Linked DNA regions of Schizosaccharomyces pombe. The main gene of each other region encodes a partner of the protein of the gene in region 3 in a complex. Each region holds a gene or a part of one and is shown on either strand. Other genes may lie near its edges.

Region 1 (3,759 bases), 3.1 Mb from region 3:
CGCAATTGCCCAATAAAATCATGCTCCACCCTGTTCCGCAAGACGAAATAAAACCTCGACCTAAGAAAGGAAGGTAAATGATGGTAATTTTTAGAGTCTACATAGGTGAGATGGTGACCAATCCTGTTGAGGCATGAGTTTGGTTTTTTTGATATGTATCTTAACTTTTTGTTTGGGAAAAAAAGTGGCATTTCGTGATTCATGACTAAAATCAATTACTGGCAATCGTTTAATATTAGAAAAATTTTTCCTTTCCTGACAAAAAGTGTTATGGGTATAGACGCTATCATCTTCTTATCTATGTTGGCTGCTCAATAAATGATGAACTTTTTTTAAAGCACTTTTAAAAGTTTGGAGCGAAAGTTCGCTAGCTGGCTAAACGGCAGTGTCATCTGAAAAGCTTGCTATAGCTTTGAATAATATTTATAATATATATATATGTATTCAAATAGATGGTAGAAATTTAATGTGTTCTGATAGATTGTTTTAATTTGAAGACATAAAGAGATGAAAAATATCTGTTTTATTTTTGAAAGGGGATAGTACTAAGAAAATTCTGAAAAAAAAAAAAACAAAACAAAAATCAATTTTTGAGGAGACAATATGATATATCAGCTGTGAATTTAAATACTACTGAGTCGTCTTAGAGATATCTACACTCGGGTCTGTGAACTTTGTACGATTAGCCTCAGCGTATTGTGAAGCATTATCAAACCAAGAATTTAAAGCATTTTGATCCATTTCATAGCCCAACTCCAGATCAGATTTTGTAAATACAGCACCCAATGCTTGAGCCTGATCATGGGCAACGCGTTGCTGAATTTCTTGTTCAGCGCGTAGGTGATAAAATTCCTTTCTTGCTTGATCATAAGCATTTTCTACAGGCATGTTAGAGTTTTCAATCAGCCATAAAGTTCTTTGCACTACACTCTCGCCAGATAATGCTTTGCGCGGTTGATCCATGTGACTCCAATCACAATATTGCTGATCATTACCGTCATTTTCTGCAATGATTTGAGGCCTTGCTAGTTCCCAAGGATGATCTCGATAAAACCTTTTACGGAGTTTATCTTCTGGCCATTGAATTTCCTGAGGCTGATACATTGATTTTCGTAACCGTTTACCACGGGATTTTACCTTATTTGGATCGTACAATGGTACAATACGTCTAGCATATTGAAAGGTTGGGGGATGTTTAGCAACCGTTTCGTACCATAAAGACTCTGCTGTCCATGGCTTTTTCATTTCAGCTGCAAAGCTGCGTAGCAAACCATTTGCATTAAATTTCGGCATTGGATCTTCCTCCTGAAAAAGTTATTAAATAGTATATTAGTAAAATAATCAGTAATAGAAACGTGAAAATGGAAGTAAGGATTGAATAATGATTGAGATGGGTTAATTATGCAAAACACATCCACGGCGCTATAAATAATGGAGAGTATGACTTGAGGTAATAAACAATCGCTTATATGGATAGTCTGCTAAAAAAGTGAATTATAAGCGCAAGAAACCAACTTTTTTGGTGAAAATGGCTTCCAAGAGGAATTGGGCTGGCCAAGCTAGTGTTAGCTGACGGTACTAGTGTGCCTCATCTTAGTAGCTACTGAGTATAACCTAATGGTAAGATATTATGAATATTTATTTCAGAACACACAAGGATACGAACACTATTAATGAAATAGTTATTTATAAATTTAAACACATCTATTGCCTTTTTTTTGCTAAGATATGGCTTGTTTGTAAATTCGGAATTTAAACTAAGCGATTGTTCATCTAAATTAATTTTATGGATTGAAAGTCCCTATTATTTTTTAGATATTTTTTTTATAATTGCTAAAGGTATATAGAGTTTATTGCCTTTATTTTTTTATATTTTTTTATCAATCGTTAACGCCATAGGAAAGCAAGTTAAACTGCTTAAAAATTTTTTAATACTTAAAAATTTTTTGTTATGGAATAAACTTTTTTTTTTTTATACTTTTAATTTTCACTGATTTCATTAAATATTTACCGGCAGCCGTTAGAATTATTAATAACAATGGTTCAAAAAACTCCAAAAAAATTTTAAGATTAATTAGACAAAATCAATTATATGTTTCGTAAAGCAAATTAAATGGCTGTACTGTATTTGTGAAGCTGTATGCGTATTTGCTAATTTGATTTTGTCATAAACTGACTGAGTAAATTAGCGCAGCAAATGCCGCTACACCTAGCATGTTCTGAAGTGAAAATGAAGTGCTGCAAATATTTAAAGCCATTGATCGTACAGTATTATTATGAATGGACATCAACTACTTGAATTCTTGCCTGCTCATACATTTTTAGCAGTTATTTTCATTTCTTCACTTATAACGCAGTCATATTTATACTCCGTATTTGATTTTACCTGCTAGCTGGCAATCTCAATGCTAGAATACGATATTCGCTTCTGGATGATGAGTGTTATATAACCTAGGTAAGGTTAATCTGTAGCTTATAACGAAGAAGTAAGGTAAATAGACTACACTTGTGTTCTTTGACGAAAGTGTATTCGATGATATTGTAAATGCTGATTAAATACTAATGAGTCAACAAACGTGCCTAAATGCTGGTTGCATTCAATGCCATTCCTATATATGATGATGGCCGATTGATCGTTATTCATTAGCGATTCTTAAGAGGATCGATGAATGATAGTTTAATAGTTTAGAGGGATATTCTGCATTTAATTATATTAAGGGACCTCTTTTTTACTCATGAATGTTCTTTCCATGTTTACACAATAACGAGCTATTATAACAAAATAACGTAAATAAACTATAGCGATGGTTTCCGTTAATTCACTAACGCTGCCTGTTAATGAGGAAATAGCAATCTTAGGTTTTGCTTAGAACCCAACTTCGCAACGTTGGAAGGTTTGCTCAGTTAGCTGTATTTATACCACCTTCTGTTTTTTGGAAACCTTGGATGAAATGTTTAGATGCATTATTGAGCCTTTTCGCACAGTTTAATGTTTGAATTATCGCATCATATAGAAAGGGAACGGAAGTATATGCATCATCTCGTATCGAGTTCTCGTTTTCTTTTTTTATCAAGTACCCCCTTCTCTCATTAATAGTGATCCTTTTAATTTGATTATCGTTTCTTTTCTTCATAACGCGTCTTTTCGTTTCCACGCCTCTCGTTTTGGGGACGACTTTTGTCTGCTTGCCAGGCTAAGAGATGCGAAATTGTGTATCTCCACTACTTTTTGCATGGACAAAACATTTACGTTTAAGGGAATTTAAAATCCCTTTCCCAAATCGTCTTGTTGTGCGGTCACTAAACCAGCTTAGCGTTCATCATGAAAAGGTAACTGGGTGCAGGCCTCGACAAGCGTCTTCTGATGAATTACATAAATACTCGAAATCTGCTTCAAACGAAGCATTTCTCTCAAGTTTTGCAGAAAATCAATTATTTCACAAGTGTTTGCCTTCCAGCGCAGGTGCTGTTCTTAGTGAAAACGATTTAATGTACATTATCCGAAAAGTCAGTGAAGTCTATGCTGATAATAAAACTGAAAAGGTTACTGTGCCTTTTGACAAACATAAAAACCCATTCCTAATTTACGTGAAAAAACGGTTTGCCGAATGTTTTGATAAAAATCCTGATCTTTGCCTCATTGTGTATTCAAAACTGGAGGTTGAAACGTTGGCAAAAATAACTCCCATTTGGATTAATGTCGCCAAAAAAAATAAAAAAGAAGATTTTCTTGTTGAACTCTGCCTCCGTTTTTTAGAA
Region 2 (3,759 bases), on a different chromosome or scaffold from region 3:
GTTGCTCTCTTACAGCTGCCATTGCATCGAATCTGGCTTGTAATATACCACCTTTGCAAGCCATTCACGAAGCTTTATATTCAATCGAGTGGGCCATTCAAAGGGTTCATAAAAAGAGTTCAGATCCCTATAAGAGTGCTCAGCTATTTACAGCTTTAGGTCATTCTTCTAAGTTCTCAGGATCTCTAATTTCGTTAAAGTCGGAGAATTACATACCACAAGCTGATTTAACTTCTGTTCTTTTATCTCATATACCTTCATGAAAAGCCCTATTGCATATATTTTGAACTAGCTCCATGATGCACTCATCGTTTTAATATCGTTCTATAAAACCCAATTCTTTTCTAGATGGATTTTTTCTTCTTTTGCATATAATTATTTGTTCTTCCCTCTCTGTCCTCTTTAGATAAGTAAAATAACTACTACTAGATAATTTTTTTAATACATTGTATCGACTAACGCTCCTCCTACAAAAAAGTTCAATCAAGCTAAATTAAAAATTAAAGATAACAAAGATATTATATTTTTAAAGCCATTAAAAAATGTTAGCCACTAATATTAGCAGCGGTTTATGATTTTGTGTCATGTATATTTTAATCCAAAAAAGACTATTCAAAACCAAAGTACACCTGAAATATTAATTAACGTGAGCTAATCATTTAAAAAGTAAAGTAGATCGTTTATCGTTCCTTAAGAAAAAAAAAGTAAGGGACAGTGGGTAAGTATATCTACCAATGTGATGAAATGAGATATAGAACGTCCTTGTTAATATTCAGTACAATTTAATTTTCCGAATAAACTGATTTGTATTTCGTCGGCATTATACCAGCAGCTCGAGCCCTTCGGATAGCCCTAGAAAGAAGTCGTTGATTTTTTGCTGTTAGGCCAGTATCACCTCTGGGTTTAATACGACCAAGTTCAGTAACGAATCTTGACAATATTACGGGGTTTTTCCAATAATTCATAGGGTTTTCGTTCACCGTCTTAAAGCAATCTTCTCTTACTGGTTCATAGAATTTGGCTTGATTTTTCGCCTTTACCGTTTCAAACAGTAAATCATTGGGAGAGTAAATATCACCTTCTTCTACGGAGGCTGATAAATATGATGGAATATTTGAGCGAACTCTTCTCTGAAATCCTACATTTGAAGATGCTTCAGAATTTCTCTCATTAAATTTTCGATTGTCCGAAAACCCTCTTCGCGTAGAGTTATTAGATTGTATGAGATTGCATAAAATAAATCCTCTGTTTGGAGCTGGAGAAAATATTCGTCTCCCAAGCATTTTTCTCCCGTGCTGTTGTCAAAGTAATATTTCAATGTTTGAAGGTGTTTAGTGAAATAATGAGACACTCGTTAAATAGTTTATAGCTTATGCTTGTGTCTGATAAATGAAAACGTGATGATACCTGAATTTTCTAACTTTTCTGTTTCAAAATAAATGTTTATTTAGATATGAAGTGTTAAACGGGTCATTAAAATCCTATACTAATTTGAAGGCATCACAAACTTGAGCATATACACAGCTTTCACAAGCATAAAAAAAAAGGGAAATTAAAAATTACAGAAGTGGAACTAAGCATAACGTTAACATTATTACTAATTATTATATGATATGATAATAATAAAAAATCTAACGGGTTATTAAACTTCGTTAGTAAATCGTGGCATTTTCCATAAACATAACCAATTATTTGCCATTCAGCAAGATCGTAAACTATGTACAAGAATAATAGGCAGTGTCATCGATCGATCTAAATTATTATGAAAACAGAAGTCAAAAAAAAGTGGATAAACAGTCGGGATTCGAACTTTATGCTAGCAAAGATGAGTAAATGCAACATATCAAGTCGATAACAAACGAGTGACATAAGAAATTAGACAATAAAATAGATGAAAAATAGGAATAATAACTCCTCTGAAGCCGAGTCTACATGTTAGAGAAAGGATTTGCGATATAAAAAACAATCGTTCACTAACATTTTTTCAGTAGACAAAGCACGTACAGTATGTGCGGCGTCAAGGCTTTAAATTAAGGAAACATTCTAGTTCCCCATATCAAGAACTGAATGGCATGTTTCCATAGCCATCATCATATTGCCTCAGATATAATTAACCGGATATTTGACTGAAGAAAACCAAATAGATAATCCGGTGAAAAGGCAAAAAATTAAATAGAAAAACTATCATCTAATAATTTTTTAAAATTTTTTAAAATTTAAGGGTTCGGTTAAAACGGACACGTATCCTTAAATAAAAAAAAAGCATTTAATGAACCAAAATTAATTATAAGCACCAATCACTAAACTTTTCGTTTAAAAATAATTAAAGTGTTTGCTTTTATGAAGCTAAACAGATTTTGGAAGCCATTCCCTTATTTCGCAATTTCGCAGTAATAAACATTGAGAACAAGAGTCTCTAAAAGGTTTAAACATTCACCTGCCAATCTTCCATCATTTGATCACCCTGGGGGTTAGAAGAAGATCCATGAATACCTTCATAAATTATGGCTCCGGCTTTTCTACGCATTTCAACCCAGCAAACCTCATCAGTTGCCAAAATTTGATCTATGGTAGGTCGGTTCCTAGGCTCTGGAGATAGCATCCACTCTACAACGCGATCAAGTCCCCCTTGGCCTATTATACTATTAGCCGGTGTTTCACGAGAAGAAGAAGTAAGAGATGAACCGTTGTCTGTTGAAGAAAGTCGAGGAGCATCTGATAAGTCACCGGAACGTAATTTCTGCCAAGACTGACCGTTATCAGGAAGAACAATGTTAGCAGCAGCTTCGAAGACTGTGATACCCAAACTGAAAATATCAGCAGGTTTATCATACAAATGGTTAGCAAGAACCTCAGGCGCAATGTATTCACAATCACCTTCTCTTTCCATGCCTCTCGGAACAGGCCAAACACTGGCCATTCCAAAATCACCAATCTTCAAGGTACCCTCGAATGTTATCATAACATTAGCAGGCTTTAAATCCAAATGAACATAATTTTTATGATGAATAAACTGTAGCCCAAGAGCTACTTCTACTAATATTTTCCATACCCTAAATTCATCGAGCCTTGAAAGTTGTCCTTGCTCTTCAAGAAAACGATCCAAACTACCATTTTCACACAATTCGACTTGCATATAAAGAAACCCCCCATGTTCCCATGAGTCCATAAGCTCTACAATGTGATCATGGCCTTTAAGGGCTCGTTGAATAGAGACTTCCTGAAGTAGTCGATTACGTTCTTTTGGTCCACTAAACTTTACCTTGAGCTTTTTCACTGCATACTTTAAAGTTTTTTCCACAGGGTCTTCAACTTGAAAAACCTCACTAAACTCTCCACTTCCTAGTAAAGTAACATTTCTAAACCGTGTAAGCAAATGTGAAGTAGATGATGATACTTTGGACGAGGTGAGAGCAGAAGGAAAGGATAATGTAAAGCTTGAAGAAGAGGGTTGAGATACATCAGCTTCTTCCTCCATGGCAAATGACATTTGATTATTATTTCTCGATTTGATAGGCGAAGGTTGCCGACCGTCCATGTGAATGGAAACAGTATTTTCAAACGCAAATGGGTTACGAGTAGGCGTAGCGGGACACCTCTGATTAGATAGAAATGGTAATCCATAGTTGTGAGAAGTTTTTACAGCAGAAGGAGGAGGATCGAACCTCAAAAAGTCCATGGAACTTTTCTCCAACTGAATAGTAGGAATGGAATTGTGATTTGTAGGAGTGTTTTCCCGTTGAATAAAATAAGAGTCGG
Region 3 (3,729 bases):
CCTCTTTCTCACGCAGTTTTTTCGTGAAAATAGTTAATTCAAAAGTTCTAATCAATTTTTTTTATAGGGACCAGAATTGCGCATTCTTATTGTCCATGCCCGCTGGAATCTTCAAGCCATTGAGCCTCTTGTTAAGGGTGCCGTTGAGACCATGATAGAAAAACATGATGTGAAGTTGGAGAATATTGACATTGAAAGTGTTCCGGGAAGTTGGGAACTTCCTCAAGGTATTCGTGCTTCCATCGCCCGCAATACATATGATGCTGTTATTGGCATTGGCGTTTTAATCAAAGGTTCCACCATGCATTTTGAATATATTTCAGAAGCTGTTGTTCATGGTCTTATGCGCGTTGGCCTTGATTCAGGTGTTCCCGTCATTCTAGGTCTATTAACAGTTTTAAATGAAGAGCAAGCTCTTTATCGTGCAGGTTTGAATGGTGGCCATAACCATGGAAATGATTGGGGATCAGCTGCTGTAGAGATGGGATTGAAAGCTTTGTATTAATTAAGTTGAATCCTTTGCTCATTTTTTTGTTAATAAAATATGCTACTGACTGTTTTGCTCTTCGAAAGGACCTACTGACATGCTAAAGCTTTAGTCATGATCCTTTATACATTGTCGCTTTCTTATGAGCACCGTCTTAGTTGAACAAGTATGTTTTTCATTCAATCGTTTGCAACGTATTTTCATGATTCCCCAGTTTGTTAAGATATACAGCTATGGGTTAATGTATACGATGTTTTAAATTTGCTTAAGACTTAATCCCAACTTATTATGTTTTGTAAGCTTTATTTTGAATATATTACTGTCTATATGCATCTTGTTCAATCACTTGCCCTTTTTACAAAAAAAGATGTTACAGAAGTATTATTGACATAGTTGTAAACAAATTTAAAGGCATTGAATGCTGGGAGCAGGAAACATGGTACTACAAGAGTAGTTTTCTTTTAGAAATGAATGTGATTTGAGACTCTTCTGATGCACAATCTACAATTTGCAACATTACGTAGCCATTGTGAATGTAAAAATTTCCAGTTAAAATCGATATCGGTGTATACAGGTAATTGGCAAGTTAAGAAAGAGCGGTCAATCACCGATTTACAATATTCATGACCACCGCGAAAGACTTATCACAATGGATCAATCGAAATCATTAGGAATCATCAAAAATTAATGGGGATTTTTTATTTACTCTTTCGAAATCTCCGATGCTGGGCTCATACGGTTGGCTGTGCTTAAGATTTTTATGATTTCAAAGCGTTTAGTCGCTGACCGAGGCCTACATGGCTGTATTGTAACTGCATCTCCAACATTACAATTTAAATCATCTTGAACCATATAGTTTTGATATTGGGTGACATACTTTTTCACCACTGGATGGAACTTTTCTTTTGCAACCCGCACTTTCGCTGTTTTTGGCATTGCACGAGAAATCACGATTCCCACATAATTTAGCTTCATTCTTCAGAGTAATTTTAGGATTAAACAAGAAAAGTAAGTAAGTCTAATCCTTTAAATACCCACAATAACTAAGTTATCAATGCGCACCGTTTTAGCAGTAGAGAGTTTTGACATTGCCCTATTTACAAATGTGCAATGAAGCGGCGTCTTTTCCCTTATAATTATTTAACATAAATAAGCTTTCCTTAAGTCAATTAATGATAATATATAAATGTGATAAACAACATAACGAGGATCGGAAAAGTATGTGTATTTTATTTTAAAGTACTTTATGGTAGGGTGACTTTGTAGAGAAGAAGAACGAGGGTTATTGACACTGTGTTTTCGCCATGTTTGACGACCCATCTAAGAGACTGACATATTTTGAATATGCTGTCGGTGTTCTTTTATGTTCATGGCCTGTTATGAAACAGGCTGTTGAAGAAGAATGGGCCGATGTCGATACCGCCGATAAACGAGACTGGATGGCAGGAGTTTTAGTTGATTATATTACAGTTACGAGCGATGTGGAAGCATGGGACGTTGAAGAATTGATTCTTCAAGTCCTGCAGGATGAATTCAATGTTGGTTCAATAGAAGACGACTCACCCTATATCGTAAGTATTCACCAATACTAAATTAGGTAAAGATTTTTTTCAAACAAGAAAGAACGTAACAAGCTTGCTTGAGACTGAAGATTCGTATATATATATTGGCACCGAAAAAATGATTTAAGTTTGAGGACGAAATATTGGAATATTAGTCAAAAGCTCGAGTTTATACACATATTGCGTTCTGTTGTCTATATTAAAAATTTTTTACTTCTATTAGCATTTAAAATAATTATCAAGTGATACGTCTATTAACAGTCTATTTAGTTGGCTCAAGATTTGGTTAATGTGTGGAAAGCTGCTTGCGAAGATAATTATGAACCTATTCGTGAAATCCATGAGCGTCTCGGAAAACAATTGCTTGAAAAGGAGGAAGGAAAGGAAAAAACTAGAGAAGAGTCAAATCCTCCGGTATTGGTAGAAGACGAAACGATTGTTGATGCTGAGGATGGAGGAGCTGCTCAAAATCAGCAGGAAAAGCAGCAGGGACCCATTGTTGATGATGATGGATTCACCGTTGTCCAGAAAAGACGTCGTTAAAGAGGATGTACTATTCTTATATCTTTTGGTATCATTAAATGAGCATTATTGCTGGGAGCAATTGGTTTTATCTTTTTTGTATTTTGGGGGATAATAAAAATTCAAGTTTTTGGTTTGAAAATTGAAAATTGGGATCGAAATAACTCTTATATTTTTTAAGCCTTTGTAATCCGTGTCATAAGAAGATGTAGTTAAAAGTATAGAAGAACGTGATCCGCCAAAATACGAATACGAGTTAAATTGAGCAGCTTTTTCACTTCTCAAATTTTTAATACTTGTTTTTTATGAGATTAGGCTGTAAATAGAGTGTATTTTAGTCATGCAGACGTAAAAAGGCGCAAAATACATTCTTTCATGAATCGAATGGTTGTACATAAATATGTATTATTTTACTAGTCATTGATCCTTTAAAACTCAACTGCAATTCTGGCTTTCGATCCATGTTTTCCTCCTCTTCAGCAGTATTTGGTAGTGCAAAATTTCTAGCAGTTTCGATGATTGCATGGCTTTGGACCGATTCACTCGTAATATCCACTACTCTTTTCTCGTAGAGCGTGCGGATGGATCCTTGGTTGAGAAATGCAACTGCATGCAATTCACGCTGTAGGGAAAAAAGGAAAGCCCGAATATCAAGGTCTTCTTTTGTTTTAAAATGAATTCGAACGTGACACAACAAGTTATGCCTCAACCTCACAATTTTCTCAACAGAACACATTTGCACCTTGGTGTCTGGTTAGATACGGGAGGATGGTCAACCATAGCCAAAAAAAGCAAATGACAAAACTCTTTGAATTTCTCAATACTCCATGTATTAAGTTAAATTATATACAACAAAAGACGACTTATAAATTTCAATTCTAAGATGGGAATACAGTCAAGTAAATGAGTCGTAAACATAACGACTTTTTAGGAATGCTATTTATTATTTATTTTTTAACTAGCCAAGTAGTTAAGTATATGAACAACAATAATCCTTCAAAAGAGAGAATCTAACAACAAATAAATATATCGAGATGTAAACGATCAAAATGGTGTCTTTTTCATTATAGCAAACGAGCAGACATTAGGGCTAAAAGTATTGTGAAAAGTAGTTGTGACCAACATATTATCTTTTCGATTAAAGCAAAAGTTTTTCAA
Region 4 (4,346 bases), 610 kb from region 3:
ATTTATGTGTGCTTTTCGGGCTGCTATAGTTTTCCGTCCTTAACAGTGTCCTTTTTTCTACTTTTGGGAGGATTGGCCCAAAAGCTCTCTTGGTTGTGCAATCAGGGCTTAAAATAATGCTTGAAAGTATATAGGTATCTTTCGCTCTTTAAACGTTCAACTGAAGTTTTACGATCAACGATTTTACTAAAGGTTCTTTTAACGGTTGGCTTTTAGTACGAAATCAGCACTTTTCATTTAGATTATCTATGCGGTATACTAGTTTATTACTTATATGTCGGTTACACATATGCATGTCAGGGAAAAAGCATTGCAATTTGATCTATACTCATTTCGAGATTTGGTAGTAGATTTTTTTTTTTCATTAAGTGATTTCTCGCTTTCTTTTTCAAGTTTATTTTTACATACTATTTGGTTTGTGATGTTTAGCTTGTATTTAATGCATTAATTGAAAATTACACTGTTCGGTGCATGAATAAATGTAGTGGTGTAGAGTTGGACTGGTTGATGAAATATGGTAATAATACCAAAGTAAATTGCTTCTGGTACAGTTAATAAATTAGCTTATAAGGCTAGTTCACCATTTATAATATTTTGTTACAAACGATTAAGTTGTTAATATTCATTGTTGAACGATTTTAAATCCTTTGAGACAAGTCTTTTATAAATTCAACGGAAGTACAGGAATGATTTGTTAGAATTGTACAACTATTGCAATTGGCTATTAATGAACGTGTTCAGTTCCAATTAAACGAATGAGGAAATCAGGAAAGCAACAAAGCGCATTGCCGTTTCCGAACGGAAAGTCCAAAAATCTAAGCAATAATAGATACACCGATATTAACCTAAATATTTGAAATGAAGCTGTTAATTTGTTTCTAAAAAAATAAGGGTATAACATCAGTAAACGAAATGAAGTTTCAGTATAAAGTGAAGATCCATTTTAACCATAAACGCAAAAGCTAAAAATTACAAAGGCAAAATATTGGTACCAAGATTTCTCATTACCAAACAATTTTAAGTACAAAGCAACAAGTAATTACAAATGGATAGCATCAAATTATGAGCGCTTTCAACTAGCGCATAACCTCAGATAGATAGACACTTTAAAAAATTTAGAAATTAAGATATCACTACGCTAACGATAATGTGGAGAAGGAATTAAAAAAAAAAAGGTGATATTGTAATAAAAAGAATCGTAAAGAAAACAAATATCGCACTCAGCCAAAAAACGTGGTTTTAAAAAAACAGTACGGAAGGGTAAAATCGGTCAAAAATTATGAAATTTAGTTGAGAGAGGTAATTAGCGTGATCACAGAGATAAAGTGTAAAAAAAAATAAAAAATGTGTTAAAGATATCTAGACATTGTGAAGTGGTCGTAAAAAAGAAATGTCATGACTTGAGCAATAACGATTATAGTGAGTTTCAAGAAACGGGTTTTTTAGGAAGCAACTGGAACTAAAAGTGAAAAAAGTAACGTTAGTAAGAATTGATAGATTGATAGAAAGAAGTAAAACAAGTAAATTAGTAGCCAAATCGTAACGAAAACAGGGATGAGATCCTACACTCCATTTCGGAAAGCCGGGCAGTTAGGGAACATGAGAAAAATCACCCGAGCGGTATATCGCAAGCGGGTCGAAAATTTTAGTCAAAAAAGAGAGTTGAAAGAAAGTTTAACGAATTTGGACTAGTCATAAAAATAGATAAAGAGAGCTTGGGCATACCTTTTCAGCTAAAGAGCGGACGGTGTCGGATGGTTGTGCTCCTACACTTATCCAATATTTAAAACGTTCAACGTTGAGCTGGATATCTTTTATACGAGGAATGGAGTCCTGAGAATCAATCTTCTTAGGGATGGGATCAAAAGTGCCGATGGTTTCGATAGGTTTGGCTTGAGGTGCTTTCCTATATTGAGTTAACAAAGTCGAACCAAAAGACAGGAATGGATGAAGGAGAAAAAAAAGGATGTACAGGTGATATGTAAACAGTTAATAGAGGCCAAGGGGGCCAAACCACAATAAATAGTCAATTAATAAGAAAAATTGTGGTTGGTGTCCTTGGCATTTTGAATACTATGTAGAAAGACTAGATTAAATAGATGAGAGCATCCAGGAATACCTGAAAACTAAAGCTTCTAAAAAAGATCGCAATTTAGAGCCAAAGGAACCGTCAAAAAAAAGCAGTCTTTTAGCATTTTATCTTCCATTCTTTCATAACCCACATCAAGCCATCTCCCTTACTAAATCCTGTACAAAAACTTTCCCCTTTACGTGAACCGCTACAAGTGTTGTAAAACACGAAACAACCGTCTAGGTATGTTTTCATCCTACTTACCATGCATTCGCAACTACGATATGGTAAAAAGGTCTATTTCTGACGCCATGACGCGCCAAACGAATTTTTACTACCATTGAGAAGAGCCGGTTTTCAACGAGTCCTACAAATCCCGTCTTTCCCACTTGGTGGTAGGAGTATGGTTAAGAGCAACTTGAGTAAACACGAAGACAATGCAGGTATCAAGGATGGAAAGCAGATGGACGTATCGTATTGTGCACTCCGTTGTTTATAAAATAGCGTTGTGCCTTGCTTTTCGTTCATACTTACAAACAAAACATAATTTCAAAAGATCATTTCAAACGTTTTCTGGGATAGAAATTACGTTCTTTTCCTTCCATTTATCTTTCTACTTCCTGCTGACTCTATTTCTCTTTATAAGCAGTGTGAATTGATCATATTCACTACCCCCGGAGTGAGATACAGCACGAATTACGGTAACACGAATACTACAAAGCGAGCATTCTCCACGTTGTTCAAGGTATGCTTTGCTTGTATCGAGTTTGCTAAACAGGAATACTGTAAGCGATTGTAGAATGCGTATACGAGATACCATAAACGAACGTTACTCATGTAATGCGTAGTTTGCCAACCTTCTTTTCACCACGCAATCCTTATAACGTAATGTTAATCGCTATAGACATTCCTTAGCTTAAGCGGCTTCGTCTACTTTTAGCTTTTTCCTCCCTCCCATAAATTCTACTTAGCGACAGCAAAACATAACTTAAGACTCGCGTAGATTGCGCATCCCTGTTGAATATTTAACTCCATCCGTTCTTGAAAATTTCTAGTGATCAAGAAAGCTATTGATTGAATCTTAGAGGGTTTTTGTTGCTTTCGTACGAATCGTTGTTTGGGGAGTTCGGTTAATTGGTATTTTGAGATTTCCCAACACCTAGGCTTCTTTTAGTTAGCATTTTGATCTTGTTCTGAATTGCCCATTCTTTTGGTGTTGTTACGAATTGCTGGATCCACTGACATTGATTTTTGCCATCGTACTCCCGGTTACTGTCAAGTCAGTGTGTTGTGTCGACGGATTCAAGCAAAATAGGAACATCGGATTGAAACGTTTCTTTGGACATCGCTTTGTGGATGAACGGTGCTAGGTTTTAGGCTAGTAGCAGTTTTAAGACTCATTACATATCGGAACACCTGAAGATTTGACGTTTACATCCTGCCTTGCGTCAGTTTCTACTCCTTTCTTCTCCGTCATCATATAATTGCTGTCAATTCCTTATAACGCAGCTTGGGGGCCAATTTTTACTATATTCCCCTTTATATATTTAGTTTTTATAAGTTTTTCTTCTTTCATTGTTTATCCTGTCAAGCTTGTTCATCTTGTCTCGTTTACTTGGTTAGTTCGTGAACGAGTGCGTTCTTGGGGTCGCTTACCTTGAAGATTCCTGTTCAACCCGGTTTCATAATAATTCAACTTGAAAGAGGAAAAACCTAATTTTTTGTTGTTTTATACTTTCCTTCGCTCAAAGACAACTACTATAGGCGTTTTCTTGGGTTCCAATTTTATTTGCTTTCCTACTACAATTTCCACCCATTCTATCTTTCCTTTAGTTTTCGCTTCCTCTCCTTTTTTGAAATAATCCCGCTTTTCTTCTAATTTCTCGTTTATTAAACGGTGTATTGTTAAATTTTTTTTTGCGGTTAGCGTTTCATCAACAAGAAGTTCGGAAATTCGAATTCTCTCCATTACTACTGAGTGTTTTTTCTTTTTTCTTTTTTTAATCTTTCTCTTTTTGTCTTGGAAACTTTTCATTCTTTAAATACCTATAAATACCTTTCGTTCTCCTTGACTCATATCCAAAACGACTGTTTGGTATTCGCTTCGCTATGTGTCCTTCCCAACACTCGTCGCTCAAGGATATTCATCGTCAACTCGAAAACACTGCGATTTCCAATCCCACTGAAAACGCTGATCCATCCAGTTATGTGGATGGCTCAAATATCATGGATTTCAAGCACCCATCCATAGTTTCGTCTTCAGCATCTTCTTCAT

The links.
Region 1: mrps17 (region 3) and rsm25 share a complex: the UniProt entries of both Schizosaccharomyces pombe proteins name them as parts of the mitochondrial small ribosomal subunit.
Region 2: mrps17 (region 3) and rsm18 share a complex: the UniProt entries of both Schizosaccharomyces pombe proteins name them as parts of the mitochondrial small ribosomal subunit.
Region 4: mrps17 (region 3) and mrps16 share a complex: the UniProt entries of both Schizosaccharomyces pombe proteins name them as parts of the mitochondrial small ribosomal subunit.

What each region holds. Positions count from the first base shown.
Region 1 is NC_003423.3:4,290,396-4,294,154, forward strand, and holds rsm25 (mitochondrial 37S ribosomal protein mS23), read right to left. Parts: upstream 1,568-3,759; 5' UTR 1,294-1,567; coding exon 631-1,293; 3' UTR 501-630; downstream 1-500. Other genes in the region: nucleoporin Rae1, read left to right, coding at 1-77; PPR repeat-containing protein Ppr7, read left to right, coding at 3,202-3,759. UniProt on the Schizosaccharomyces pombe protein: Component of the mitochondrial ribosome (mitoribosome), a dedicated translation machinery responsible for the synthesis of mitochondrial genome-encoded proteins, including at least some of the essential transmembrane subunits of the mitochondrial respiratory chain.
Region 2 is NC_003421.2:723,534-727,292, reverse strand, and holds rsm18 (mitochondrial 37S ribosomal protein bS18m), read right to left. Parts: upstream 1,304-3,759; 5' UTR 1,284-1,303; coding exon 783-1,283; 3' UTR 501-782; downstream 1-500. Other genes in the region: SPOM_SPCC18B5.05C (phosphomethylpyrimidine kinase), read left to right, coding at 1-263; protein kinase Wee1, read right to left, coding at 2,426-3,759. UniProt on the Schizosaccharomyces pombe protein: Component of the mitochondrial ribosome (mitoribosome), a dedicated translation machinery responsible for the synthesis of mitochondrial genome-encoded proteins, including at least some of the essential transmembrane subunits of the mitochondrial respiratory chain.
Region 3 is NC_003423.3:1,165,743-1,169,471, forward strand, and holds mrps17 (mitochondrial 37S ribosomal protein uS17m), read right to left. Parts: upstream 1,556-3,729; 5' UTR 1,463-1,555; coding exon 1,190-1,462; 3' UTR 778-1,189; downstream 1-777. Other genes in the region: rib4 (6,7-dimethyl-8-ribityllumazine synthase), read left to right, coding at 68-505; rRNA processing protein Tsr2, read left to right, coding at 1,792-2,058, 2,320-2,592; DNA recombination protein Saw1, read right to left, coding at 2,945-3,307. UniProt on the Schizosaccharomyces pombe protein: Component of the mitochondrial ribosome (mitoribosome), a dedicated translation machinery responsible for the synthesis of mitochondrial genome-encoded proteins, including at least some of the essential transmembrane subunits of the mitochondrial respiratory chain.
Region 4 is NC_003423.3:553,959-558,304, reverse strand, and holds mrps16 (mitochondrial ribosomal protein subunit S16), read right to left. Parts: upstream 2,481-4,346; 5' UTR 2,413-2,480; coding exon 2,336-2,412; exon of another isoform or gene 1,907-2,335; coding exon 1,726-1,906; intron 1,460-1,725; coding exon 1,427-1,459; 3' UTR 1,057-1,426; downstream 1-1,056. Other genes in the region: sre2 (membrane-tethered transcription factor), read left to right, coding at 4,181-4,346. UniProt on the Schizosaccharomyces pombe protein: Component of the mitochondrial ribosome (mitoribosome), a dedicated translation machinery responsible for the synthesis of mitochondrial genome-encoded proteins, including at least some of the essential transmembrane subunits of the mitochondrial respiratory chain.